Caenorhabditis elegans: one gene and its partner. The protein of the gene in region 2 interacts with the protein of the main gene of each other region in a pairwise test. Each region holds a gene or a part of one and is shown on either strand. Other genes may lie near its edges.

Region 1 (5,012 bases), on a different chromosome or scaffold from region 2:
CTATTTCGAGTAAGAATGCGAATTTAAGTTTTTTTGTGAGGGTGATTTTCAGCCAAATTTAGCCGTTTTTTCAGGAGATTTCGCTCCACCAATTTCGATAAAAATACACACATTGCCAACTCCACTCTATACGTGACACCTCGTTCCATCGATTCTGCTGCAACATTAACTTTTCCAAATGTATCAGCAAATGCAACACTCTGAGGATAAGTAATGTGAGTTTCAATCGATGAACATGCCGCTTTTGCAGAGATCTGAAAATATACCATTTTATATTGCTGAATATCGAAAAAAAAGAAGAAAGCTAACCAATAATTCGCCATTTTCAATTCTCGTCATCTCACATTCTCTGTATTCTATAGCATCCGGCCGGGGATCAGGGAAATATGTATCATTTTCGTAGTTGTACTCGGTGAAAAGTATGAGTTGACCGGCTTTTGCTCTGAAAATTTGGAAATTAAAACTGAGGAACAGTTCAAAACGGTATTTTGAGTGGTAAAAACCTAAAATTCGAGGTTTTCGTGTGAAAATTCGAGAAAAATCATGGGAAATTTGATAATTTTGCTCGAAAATGCTATTTTTTACATCAAATAACGCAAAAATTGGATTTCCTGGACTAAATAAACGAAAAATTCCGATTTTTCTGAAATACGCTCGAAAAATTGCTCTTTTCCAATTTAAAACATTTTTTCTGAGATCTTTTACAAAAAAATCCCGTTTTCAGCAATTTCTCACCTAAAAACTTGATTTTTTTGACGGAAAATTTAGAAATAGCCGAATATTTGAATTTAAAACCTATTTTTCTGTGAAAAAGTCTTAAAAAGCGCAAATTTCACAGAAAAATGCTTTAAAATTGGAGAAAGCTCACGAACAGCTCAAAACCACTTTTTAAGTGGTAAAAAAGAAAAAACCCCGGAAAAATCGGCGGAAACTGAGTAATTTTGCTCGAAATTGTAATTTTTAACTGAAAATCCCGATTTTTCAGTAAAAATTGCTCGTTTTCAATTTAAAACGCTCTTTTTCCGAGATTTTTCCCTTGAGACTCAAATTTTCCCGATTTCTCATGAAAAAACTTGATTTTTTAGGGAAAATTAAGAGATAGCAGAATATTTAAATTCAAAACCATTTTCTCTGTGAAAACGTCATATAAAAAACGCAAACTTCACAGAAAAATGCTTCAAAATTGGCAATTTTGGCAAAATTTCGCCAAAAAACCCCGGATATTCGAGTTTTCCAGTTTTTTACTGTAAAAAATGATTTAAAACACGATTTTTCGATTAGAAATACATAAAATCTTACGGAGAGCCGACTGGAAGATGAACTTTTATTGAAGATTCCAATTGTTCAGAATAACAGATCGCAGAATTTGTCTCCTCGTTGTCAAATAGAATAATTGCGATCACTTGTGAATCGCTCATCTTTTTCGGTGATAACCTGTTAATTTCCATATTTTAAAGCGAATCTTGAGGCACTTTTCGCGAGAAAAACTGAAGTTTATGTGTGTGTGTGAAGGGGATGCGCGTGGAAAATTCAAGGCTGTGGTCGTCTGCGTCTCGAAAAAAAGAAAAATATAAATATTTTAACTCTAAATACGAAATATTCCGCTTTTTGCGCCGAAAAACGCCTTCAAAACCAAATTTTTTTGAAAATACTCGATTTTTCATCAAATTTGACGAGTTTAGGATGGTAAAATCAGTAATATACAGCATTTTTTGTTGAAAAATCAGATTTCTCATTTGAAAAATGCGTTTAAAATATTAAAAAAACATCTTTCAAGATGAGAACAATCTGAAAAGGCAAAAAAAACAAAAACAAATCATCGTGTGCAAACACTGTGACGCAAAGTCACGGACAACTACTGTAGCCCACATGAAATTTTTATTAACATTTTCAGGTCTAGAATTCAGATAAATTCACGAAAGTCTATCAAAATTACCTTAATTCTTCAAGTCTGTTTTGCTCGAAAATTTCCAGTTTCATCATGGTGTCAGATGTGTCTTTGTTTGCCAAAAATTTGAGTCGCCCGGTCACTTTGAAAAGTGGATTTCCGCTTTCTTGGTAGTTTAGGTCATTTCTGCAATTAATGATCGACTTTTTGGATGATAACCCCTGAAAACGTACACATAAATGAACGCTTTATAAACTCCTGGTCCGGTAGGTGGAGAATCCGAACAATCAACGATTCCATACCAATCCGCGTACCCCAGATCTCTGTTATAGGTGAGATAGTTCGGATTGTCACCGAAAGCTATCCAGCTCTTGTAATATACGACCTGTTCATTTGTATGAGTGGGTAGGATTACACAATCTGCCGGTTCAGGTTCTTTGATGGTTGAGGTGCTGGCATCAATTTTCATTACCCCATCTTCTGTCATCACCTCATTTTCGATGAAGGTCAGGAAAAAACCTGGCCGGGGCCTGAAAAATGATAAAAGTGCACGGCCATGTGTCGATTTACGCTGTATGTGTACTCCTCGTGGAGAACTGTTAATTTTTGCAGTAAAATTCTTGATTGTAGATCATTTCCGATAAATTGTTTTAAATTTCAGATTTAAATTGCTGATTAATATTTTATTTATCTTTTTTTTTCAATTTAAAGTGTAAGAAAAACGCGAAAAAATGGAGTACACAACGGTTCATCAATAGAGCGCGTTTAACAACCTAAAATAATTAAAATTTAAATTTTTCCCAGAAGTGGGCAACAACTTGCCTACGTTTACGAAATAAATTAATAATTTTAAAAAGTGTTTAATTTAAAAAAAATTCAAACTCGACAATTTCCACTCAAAATCTGTAAAACCTTCTCCTCGAGGAGAACACTCGCTGCGTAAATCGACACATGGCCGTGTTAGAGTTTTTTCACGGCCATTCTTCTATCTCCACTCATAAAGGTGTGTTCAACTTACTCCAATTGTTGCTGCCCTTCGATGCGAGCCCAAAAGAACTCGTGGCTCTCCCTTTTAAAACAGCCAAAGACGTCATTTTCTTGATCATGGTGCAGGATGAGTACTCGGCAGGAGGACATTATGCTGAGATATTACAAAAAATTTGAAAAAATAGCGTTAGAATGACGGGGGGACGAGAGATTCAAGCAAGTGGTGTCAGACTGTCTCGTTACAGTTTCATCTACAAAAAATGTGGGAATATTTTTCCAGAAAAGTTGTGACGTCAGCACGTTCTCATCCATGCGAAATCAGATGAGACGTCTGCGTCTCACCTCCCGCATTTTTTGAAGATCAAACCGAAATAAGACATTCTGACTGTGTGCAAAGAAAAAACAAAAAAAAACAAAAAAAAAAGATCAAAGTGTGAGAAACAGGTTACCGGCGAGAAAAACAAATTTTTAGAAATAAAAAACAACACAATTTTTGAACCCGAAACCTTCCACAAAATGCCTGCCTACATGCCTACTGGTAAACTAAAAGAAACACCGGAAATCAGGCAAAAGTGTAACCACGTATGCAAGCAGGCGTGAGGTATGGGATATTTTTGTATTTTTCTTTTTTGCGTAAGGTGAGTAGGCAGGCAGGTAGGCGTACCGGTAGGCGTGAGGTAGGCACGTAGACCTACATTCAGGCATGGTGTAGGCATCAGAACTTGCCTGTCTACCATAGAACAACCTATAAATTAGAAAAAAAAATAGGTCGCGTAGAATGTTTTTTTTTTCAAATTTTCGTAATACCTCAGACACCTGTCCAGTTATGAAAGATTATTATCTGATCTAAATATTAATTTTTGAGGCGTTAAGAAGTGCCAAACTTTCTACGAAAAAACGAAAAAAAAACCAAAAAAAAAAGCAACTTTCAAATCGAATAAAAGAGAGAGAAAAGAGAGAGAATAGAGAAATAGACAACTGGTCGTTTGCTCTGTTGTCATGATTTACGACAGATGACCTTAGGCCTGAACCTGATAATGTAATTTTTTATTGCGCTCGTTACAAGTTACCGAGCACTAAAATGGCAAAAACACCATAAATACAAAAAAATAAAGAAATCCAATACATTTTTTTTGAAATACTAATCTTATATCACACTAGGCTAATTGATCGGTTCCTCTACGATAGACACATTCTCATACCTACGTAGCCACACCACGCCTGCCTACAGTTTGTACCATGTTTTTTATAGCTTGACAGTAGGCATGTAGGCATGAAGTAGGCAGGAATTTTCTTGCCTACTTGGAAGGCTTGTTGCCACAAGTTCTGATTGAAGAAGTTACTGTAGCCAAAAAAGAGTTTTTTTTAAATCTATCTATAACTTTTAACATGAACAAACATAAATCGGCAATTTTAATTTTGAAAAAAATCGTCCAAAAACTCTTAAATCTTTAGAATTTTAAATCAACAGCTAAACGAGGGTTTTCCGGTCATTCTTCCATTATCAAAGAGAGTTTGGAATCCTATTAAAGTTACTTCTATAGGTTACAGCCTATTTTCGGGAAAATTACCAAATTTAATATTCAGCTGAATATTCAGCAATATTCAGCTGAAATGAATTCAGCAAGTAGCAAAACCTAACTTTTTGGAAACGTTGGAAATCGAATGAAAATAGATAATATTCCAAAAAATGGAGACACGGAAAAGAAGAGGAAATGGAAATAATCACGGGCAGGAAATGAATAATGCTGCAAGTCAAAAGACGGTGAGAGACGCAGAGAAATAGGTGTCCTCCCAGGAGGAGGAGGAGTTTGATATGTAATTTTTTAGGCCAAGCAATAAGAGGGGTATAGTGCAATGTTTTTCCAGTTGCTCACGGTACCTTCAAGCTGTGACCGCACGTGGTGTTAGAGTGTCTCACTTCGGCTTGATCTACGTAGATCTAAAAAAATGCGGGTGAAGAGACGCAGAGTTCTCAACTGATTTCGCAACAGCCTGACACCAAACGACGGGCAAACTGTTTTTGTTTTTTCACAAGTTTAAGCTAAAAATAAAAGTAATCTATATTCGAAACGACAAGAAACCCGGTAGATGTCGGTCCATGTTCTCACTTGTCACAAAATTCCCTAAAACTGTG
Region 2 (7,551 bases):
ACATTTTAAGACAGACAATTTTATTCATTATATTTTTCGCAATTTTCTGAGAAACCTTCTTAAAGGCACAAGGGTTCATTTGGATGGATCTCGCCGCGAAACAAGAGTTTATAGTTGTATTTTTCGATCTTTTCGGGGCCGTTTTTCAAAAAACAAAAACGTTGGACATGAGATATTTATAGAAACGTACTACAGGAAAATGAATAAACGGGAACTGAACGTTTTTTAGTCGGACTTTCCTAACTTTTCTCGTGGCCAGACCTTTCCGAATATATCCGTGCGCCTCTAAATACGCGTTTCAGAAAACTGCGAAATTATGAACTTTACATTTTTGTCTAGATTTACCGATTTAACCTGATCTCAGAACCTCTATATTTCTTACTTATGTTATCTCATGTATATTGTTTGATGTGAATAAATACTCAAAAAGTTTATACTTCCAAGAATTGAAGAAAAAACGGTCAGAACAATGGGCTCAGCATTTGTGTGAGAAGGGGGTTAAGAAAAGGAATAACGGTATGGAGTTTCGAAATGTCCTTTGAGAGTGAAAGGGTGAACAGAAAGCAAGTTGAGCGATGGGCAGAAACGTTGCAGCTTTTAGACGGAATTTCTGAAATTCGGATATACATTCCAAACTACTATAAGGAAAAGTATGGGATCAAAACAAATAGAAAAACGTTAGTTGGGAAAAAATGGGGGAATTCTGCATTTTTGACAGGAATCATAGATGATCGTACATAACACCACAACAGTAGAAAACGGGCATAAAACAAAAAAAATCTCGAAGTCTTGAAACATCGTTTCGGCAAAAAAGTAAAGAAATTTGTGAAATGAGTGTTTCGGTCCGTTTCTACGACAACATTTAGATAGAAACATGATTTGAAGTTCAGATAAAGACGTCTTTGATATTCGTCAAGGGTCCACCGTGGCATGTAGAGAATAACTTTATTGGATATGTGAGGATCCCGTCCTGAAATTTTAAAAATTTATTTTTTCCATTCTTTGAAAGTTTCAAACGTGGAGTATACAGTCTAGTGGGGATTGCTTTAATTGATGGAAAATGTACTGTAATGACAAAATATAATTGTGTAAAAAATTATAATCTTTAGTGCTCTAATTTTGAGATTTTTGCGTTTTCTAGATAGATTCATCGGGGATTCTAGACATTTTCTCCGATATTTAATTTGTAACACCGTTTTTCAAATTTACAGGAAAAAACTATCGATTAAGCCTATTTTTGAATTAGTCAGAAAACGCAAAAAAGCCAAAATTAGGTTTTTTTTTATTTATTTGCGCCGGAGTTGAACAATAATTGGCACATTCTTCCATTTTAGCAAAATTGAAAAAAAATTGTTTTTTAATGGAGTACTTCCAAAAAATTAAAGTTGTTTTTCTTTCATTTAAAGCTAAATCCCAACGTCTCAATTAAATTTTGGCAACTTAACGGAAATTTTATTAAAAATAATGGTACACCTAAATGATTAAAAACCCTTACAGAGGCTGTTGCGGCTCCGCTGCAAGTAACACTGAGATTTCCAGGACCATTGGATAAATATTCCTTTCCACCAAATTCAATATTATCCTTGTCATCCTCTGATTCATCGAGAGTGCAAGGAATTGCAAATGGTGGTAGTTTTGCAAACTTTTGCGGCATTAATCTCAAATCGGAACTTGGTACAACTTTTCGGAATCCACTGTCCAGAATGAACAGAAAAATGAGCTGAAAGTAAACGGATGAGAAAATCGAAACCTATACAATCTATTTATTACCTGCGTCTCTATTTTTATGATCATGGCACGACTCCATTTGAGAATAGTTGTTGAATCATTCAATTGTACTAAACACGCATGATTTGGTCTCCACATTTCAAATGGCACGCTCTTTTCATTTCGAATTTGAGACATGAAGTCTCTGAAATTAAAAATATTGAATTCTGATTAAAAGTAGAGATGTTCCAAGAGTGGATTTTCGTAGATTTTCGATGATTTTAAATACATATATGAGCCCATTCCTGAACATCATCAAAAGTCTGAGAATGTCCAGTTTTGGAGCGACTCGGAATAACTTGAAAGTAGCGAAATCAATTAATTTTAATATTTTCGATCGAAATTTCAGGGAGTCACAGTTGAGCAACGTTTTAATCAGAAAATAATGTACTTGAAGAGTAAGAGTAAAACTCACTGAATCTCTTGATTCATCTTTTCATATGGTTTTATATACTCCTCAGGACGGACTGCAAACTTTTGAACATTTTGATATCGAACAATTCCACACTTGACAAGTGCATTTGCCGGTACATTTTCAAAGATTTTATGTTCAAAAGAAGTTTGATAGAATTCAGGTGCATCGCCGACAGTTGTGATTTTTGAAATCTTGAGCACTTCTGAAAATTAATTTCTTTAGATATTTGCATATACGGGAACACTGAATTCTGAAAATGCGTATCGCGCAAAATATCTCGTAGCGTAAACTACAGTAATCCTTCAGGTGATTACTGAAGCGCTGGTCCGATTTTGTATTGTTTTTATCATTTATTGATGAAACATTTTAAAACAGCCTCCAGTTGACAAAAAACTACAAACATTACAGGAGAATAAAATTTCGCTGTCACAATTCGAAAAGATACCGTATTTTCTCTATTAGTCTTGAACCCCAGTTTTATCCTGGCCAGCTATACTATGAGGAAACTTCAAAAATTTTTTATTTTTAGATAAATTGAACTTGAAAGTGATTAAATAACTTATGAAATATTGAAAAGGAATGCTTATTCATGGCTTAAACGGTATAAAGTTAAGTTTTCAGCAAAACTTGGTAACTTTTCCAAAGTTATTGGGCTTTCGAAAATTAGTCTTGCAGCCTCTAATAGTCCTGCACCCCTACGGGTTGATTGAAAATTAGTCTTGCATGCAAGACTAATAGAGGAAATACGGTATTCACTTTCGAACATGTAAATCGACATCCGTGCTACAGTAGTAATTTTTAATAATTACTGTAGTTTTCGCTACGAGATATTTTGCGCGTCAGATACACTGTGCAATACGCATTCGCAGAATTTAATGTTTTCGTAATAATAAAATTGAATTACCAGTCTTACTCCCCGACGCATAACGATATTCTCCTTCGAATGTGATGAATAATACATATGTCAGTTTTTCACAAGTACGTTCCATTCTGACTCCAGTAGCATTCGACAATCTTTCAGCTTCATCAGTGACTCTAAATCGAGCCTTATCCAACATTTTGACGTAATCAACAACATAATAATGAAGGTCATCTTCCATATATTCATGAATTGGTGAATCTGTGGTAACTGCTGCCTCGTTCCAAGTCAGGTCGCCCTGAAATATATTTATATTGGAAAATCATATTAATTTCCAAAAGTTTCCAGAGTTTTCATTAATAGTAACGCTTAATGTAAATCTTTTAAAAAATGTTGAGCTATTTCTCGGAAAATCTTATTTTTGTCGAATTTTTGGAAAAACGTAAAATTTATAAACAGACGCCCTAAGCCCTATACAAAAAGCCCTACACATTTTATTATTTTCGTACGAAAAAAATTTTTTTAAGCAATTTTTCCACTTTACGCTAATTTTCGTTCGGATCTTAATCAAGTTTTTTAGAATTTCATGCTAGCCGTTGAAAAACTTACGGTTTCAGTGTCAATAGTCAAAGCGGAAAGCAATTTAGGCATTATTTTCTTGAGATCCTTCAAGAAGTCTTCCTTCTCCTTACCGTTCTTTCCAGGTATTCTACAAGAAATTTATTATTATCTGTTGATTTCAAAAAAATCTTACAAAATTTTGTTCTTCCTTTCTATTTCGTCGAATAAATTTTCCAGTGACAATTTTTCGCCTTCGTTTAGTTTTTTCATGATCTTCCGAACGGCCTTTGCAATCTTCTTTGATAAAACATCACTAGAGGCTACTGATTCCAATGGTTGTGGTTGTACATTGATAGACGACGAATTGAATCTCCGAGCAAGATCAGCAAGATCAGGTGATGAAGCATCTGGACGAGAACGTCGTTCTGTATTTGATTCTGCATTTGTGTCACTGGAGAATTGTGAGTAATCGGAAATATTCGATCCACGAGAAGACGGTCTTCCTGGTTGCTCATTGCGGCGTGGCGAAGAGTAACGAGTCGAATCTGGAAAATTAAAATAAAAAGTGTGCGCCTTTAAATAGTATCGTAATTTTAGACTTCCATTTCTGCGGATTTTTCAATTTTTCATAAATTTTTTGACATGAACAAAATGTTTGAAGACTTTTATGATTTTCAGTAAAATACACTTTTAAAAATATTTTAAGAAGATATGAAAACATTATAAATAAAACTGAAATCATTTTTCGGTTAACAATTTAATAAATAAATATCCAACCTCTATCACCATTATATCCATCACGAGAGTCTGGACGTCCTCTTATGTCTCCATAATTGTTTCCGCGTCGTGGAGAAGGGTCTCTATATGGTGTCCTCATGATCATCTTCTCATGATGATCTTCTCGTCGAGGTGGTTGGTTTGAGCTGATAAATTGTGAAATTTATCGAATAAGAAGAGTTTTGAAACGCTCAGTCAATTTTCAGAAGAACGGACACTACGTGAATTTTTTAGATAATTTTTGAACACCTCTGAAGGGGTACAGATTTAATTTATATATATTTTTATTTTTTTGAAATATATATCCTTATTAAGGGGTCAGTTCGCCAGTTTTCAAGAATTTTTCGTTTTTTTCAAGAATTTTTTTGCCAAAAACGCGAAAAATACGGAAATCCGTTTGGAAAAATTAATTTCTCTGCGTTAGGAAAAAATACAAAAAGGTAGAAAACGCCTGGAAAATAACAGATTTTCAAAATAAAATTCTGAAGAAAACAGCACCGCGGCTTTGCAAAATTCTCTGATCGCTAGTTCTGGAGCCGCCACAGTAAAAAAGCTTACAATCTGCTATTCGAGCCGTTGTTCGACGCCAGCACGTTTCTGGAAACAGGATAATGAAGGCCTGTCATTTTCGAATAATCATTTGATGGATTAGGTTGTGAAATATTCAGATTTGGACGGAATGATGATCCATGATTGCCTGCTGGTGGACGATGATGACCACGGTGAGCCGGTGCACCTAAAAAAGTTCATTATTTCAAATAGATTAAGAATAATTATTCCGAAAATAATTGCAAAAAACCGTTAAGGATAATGCTAACTTTGTCTAAATCCATGCGTTTGATTGTGATTTCTTGGAATTCCACCACTACGTGCTCGATTGAAACTTGGAAGATTTGATCCACCTCTCGCCGAACGTTTTCCACCTTTTCCCGATTTCTTATCACTAATCGATTCGGCTAACTGTTGGAAAGCATGATTGTTTTGATTAAGTCTCCAATTTCTATTTCCACAATTTATGAACTTATCGGGATGACGTAAGAGCAAATCACTGAGACTCAATCTCAATCCTTGCAGTTCTTCGTTTGTTTGACCTTTTCCTTCGATTTGGCTGAAAATTCCAAATTTCCTTTCTGCAGAAAAGATTCAATAACTTTGGTATTATCCAGATGCGGAAATTTTGTGATTTTCGTCTTAAAAATACGGACCGAGGTCTCGACACGATTGCTTTTCATTATGCAAAAGAGCAGTATTGACGTTATCAACAGGGATATCCTGTTTTGTTCTTTCTGACAGAAAAACAAAAATAAAATTGGCCCAAGTTCAGAAGCGATAAATTTTTAAAAAATTATTTTTTGTTCCAAAGTTTTGAATCCAAAAAAACTTTTATTTGAGTGACAGCCGCACACTCTTTTGTAATTAGAAAATATTTGAATAAAATCGATCGCGTCGGGACAGGTAATCGTATTTTTAGAGCACATTTTTCAAAATATTTTGCATCGGAATAATTTAAAAAAAATAAAATCATACTCGACAAGAGGGCAGATTTCGCTCTCATGTACCATCTTTCCCATGGCCTTAGCCATGAGACCTCCAAAAACAGAATCCGCCAGCTCTTTTTCATTCATGTCGAGTTAGAAACCTGCTGAAAAAGTGTCCTTTGGAAACATTAATGAAAAAAAAATATATAATGAATCTGTTGCAAACAGTTCTTAGACAAACAAAAAATTATGAATTAAACAAGCAATATATATATTTCATTGGGTTTGAACACAAAATGAGATCAATAGATAATAAGAGCCAAAATGCCGCATAAATAACACGCAATGAATGATTTTTGTGTCTGTCCTGTCAGTTGTAAATTGGCGAAGACGAAACGCGAATCACTGTGAAGTATCAAATTCTGAGTGGTAAAATATCAAAAATTTGAATAAAATTAAAAAGTAAAAAGATAAACTAGACGAAGCGATAAAATTGAAAAATATGTCAACAAGCGTTATAGGATCACAATTAAAATATCAATTTTTCTGAAATTCCAGCGACTGCCTGTTTCAGTACATTATCATTTTCATCCTGCCAATTTGTTGTAGCAAGAACCTCTAATACTTCATCATCTGATTCCTCGGCACAGCAAAGATGCTCGTAGAGTCTCTCGGCGGCAGATTTACGAAGAACTGGTTGTTGGCTGTTAAGAGTGTCAAGGATCTGAAAAAAGAAATTATGGGTTATAGTTCGACAAAAACCTCGACTTCTGTCACATACCATAGTTAATGCAGATCTGTATACTGTACTTTTCTTCCCACAATTCAACAATTCTCCAAGTGAATCAATCGATAGCCTCTGACGTGACATCATTGATGATCTAACTGCGATTGTTTTCATTGTATCCACCATCTCAATAATTGATTCAGACGTTTCTGGACATTGTTCATAAATTCCAAGATTTCCAAATATTTGTGGTAGAATTTGCATGAAACTGTTCCCAATTCGGTTCACTTTACGAGCTCGTTGAAAAAGATCAGCACATGTCGATAGAAAATGATCGAATCTCTGAATTAATACGAATAGAGTTAACTAAATTATCATTAAAAATTGTTTAGACAAAATTTGAGATAACTCAGAAAAAACTCTGCCAATGTGAATAAAAACAAACGAGTTTCTAAAATCACATAAAATTTTGTTGCATCTTTGAAATGTTAGAGATTTATTTATTTTCACAAAAACTCACCGGTTTATTCTCACAAATTTCTCTTTGATGATCTAAAAGCAATTGCTTTGCAGTTTTCTGAGTTCCTTCTGCCAATCCACCTGCTGATACAACAATACCCAATATTAATTGTTCATAATACTCGGATCCAAGATCTAAAAGAGGTTTCAACTGAAAAACAGTTCGATCGGATATAAAATCCATTGGCTCTGAATAAATGTTCATGAGAAGATCAATATGTGGAAGACAGCGACCCGTTATTTCGCATTTGACGAGCGATTTCAGGCAGGCACAGGCACACTGAAAATGAGCAAATTTTGTGGATATTCTAAACTTTAAGGCAGCCGTACCTCTCTAGTTCGTGAAATTCGTTCTGCACTCTGTTGAACCATATATTTTGCAGATTTGATGACATGTTCATCTAGGAATGGTGGCTCCGTTTTCGCATCAACCAAAATTGTTGACATG

Evidence for each region. The genes of interacting proteins can lie anywhere in the genome.
Region 1: the proteins of rsd-6 (region 2) and rsd-2 interact in a two-hybrid assay, tested with the Caenorhabditis elegans proteins (one study listed by BioGRID).

The regions. Positions count from the first base shown.
Region 1 is NC_003282.8:13,537,241-13,542,252, forward strand, and holds the start of rsd-2 (RSD-2 domain-containing protein), read right to left. Parts: upstream 3,026-5,012; coding exon 2,907-3,025; intron 2,419-2,906; coding exon 2,122-2,418; intron 2,075-2,121; coding exon 1,937-2,074; intron 1,435-1,936; coding exon 1,300-1,434; intron 443-1,299; coding exon 310-442; intron 255-309; coding exon 112-254; intron 1-111.
Region 2 is NC_003279.8:8,357,838-8,365,388, forward strand, and holds rsd-6 (Tudor domain-containing protein), read right to left. Parts: upstream 6,022-7,551; 5' UTR 6,005-6,021; coding exon 5,907-6,004; intron 5,488-5,906; coding exon 5,198-5,487; intron 5,116-5,197; coding exon 4,938-5,115; intron 4,526-4,937; coding exon 4,380-4,525; intron 4,148-4,379; coding exon 3,796-4,147; intron 3,751-3,795; coding exon 3,651-3,750; intron 3,340-3,650; coding exon 3,087-3,339; intron 2,385-3,086; coding exon 2,183-2,384; intron 1,913-2,182; coding exon 1,771-1,912; intron 1,721-1,770; coding exon 1,496-1,720; intron 971-1,495; coding exon 887-970; 3' UTR 417-886; downstream 1-416. Other genes in the region: tbcd-1 (Tubulin-specific chaperone D), read right to left, coding at 6,387-6,581, 6,639-6,926, 7,105-7,383, 7,434-7,551.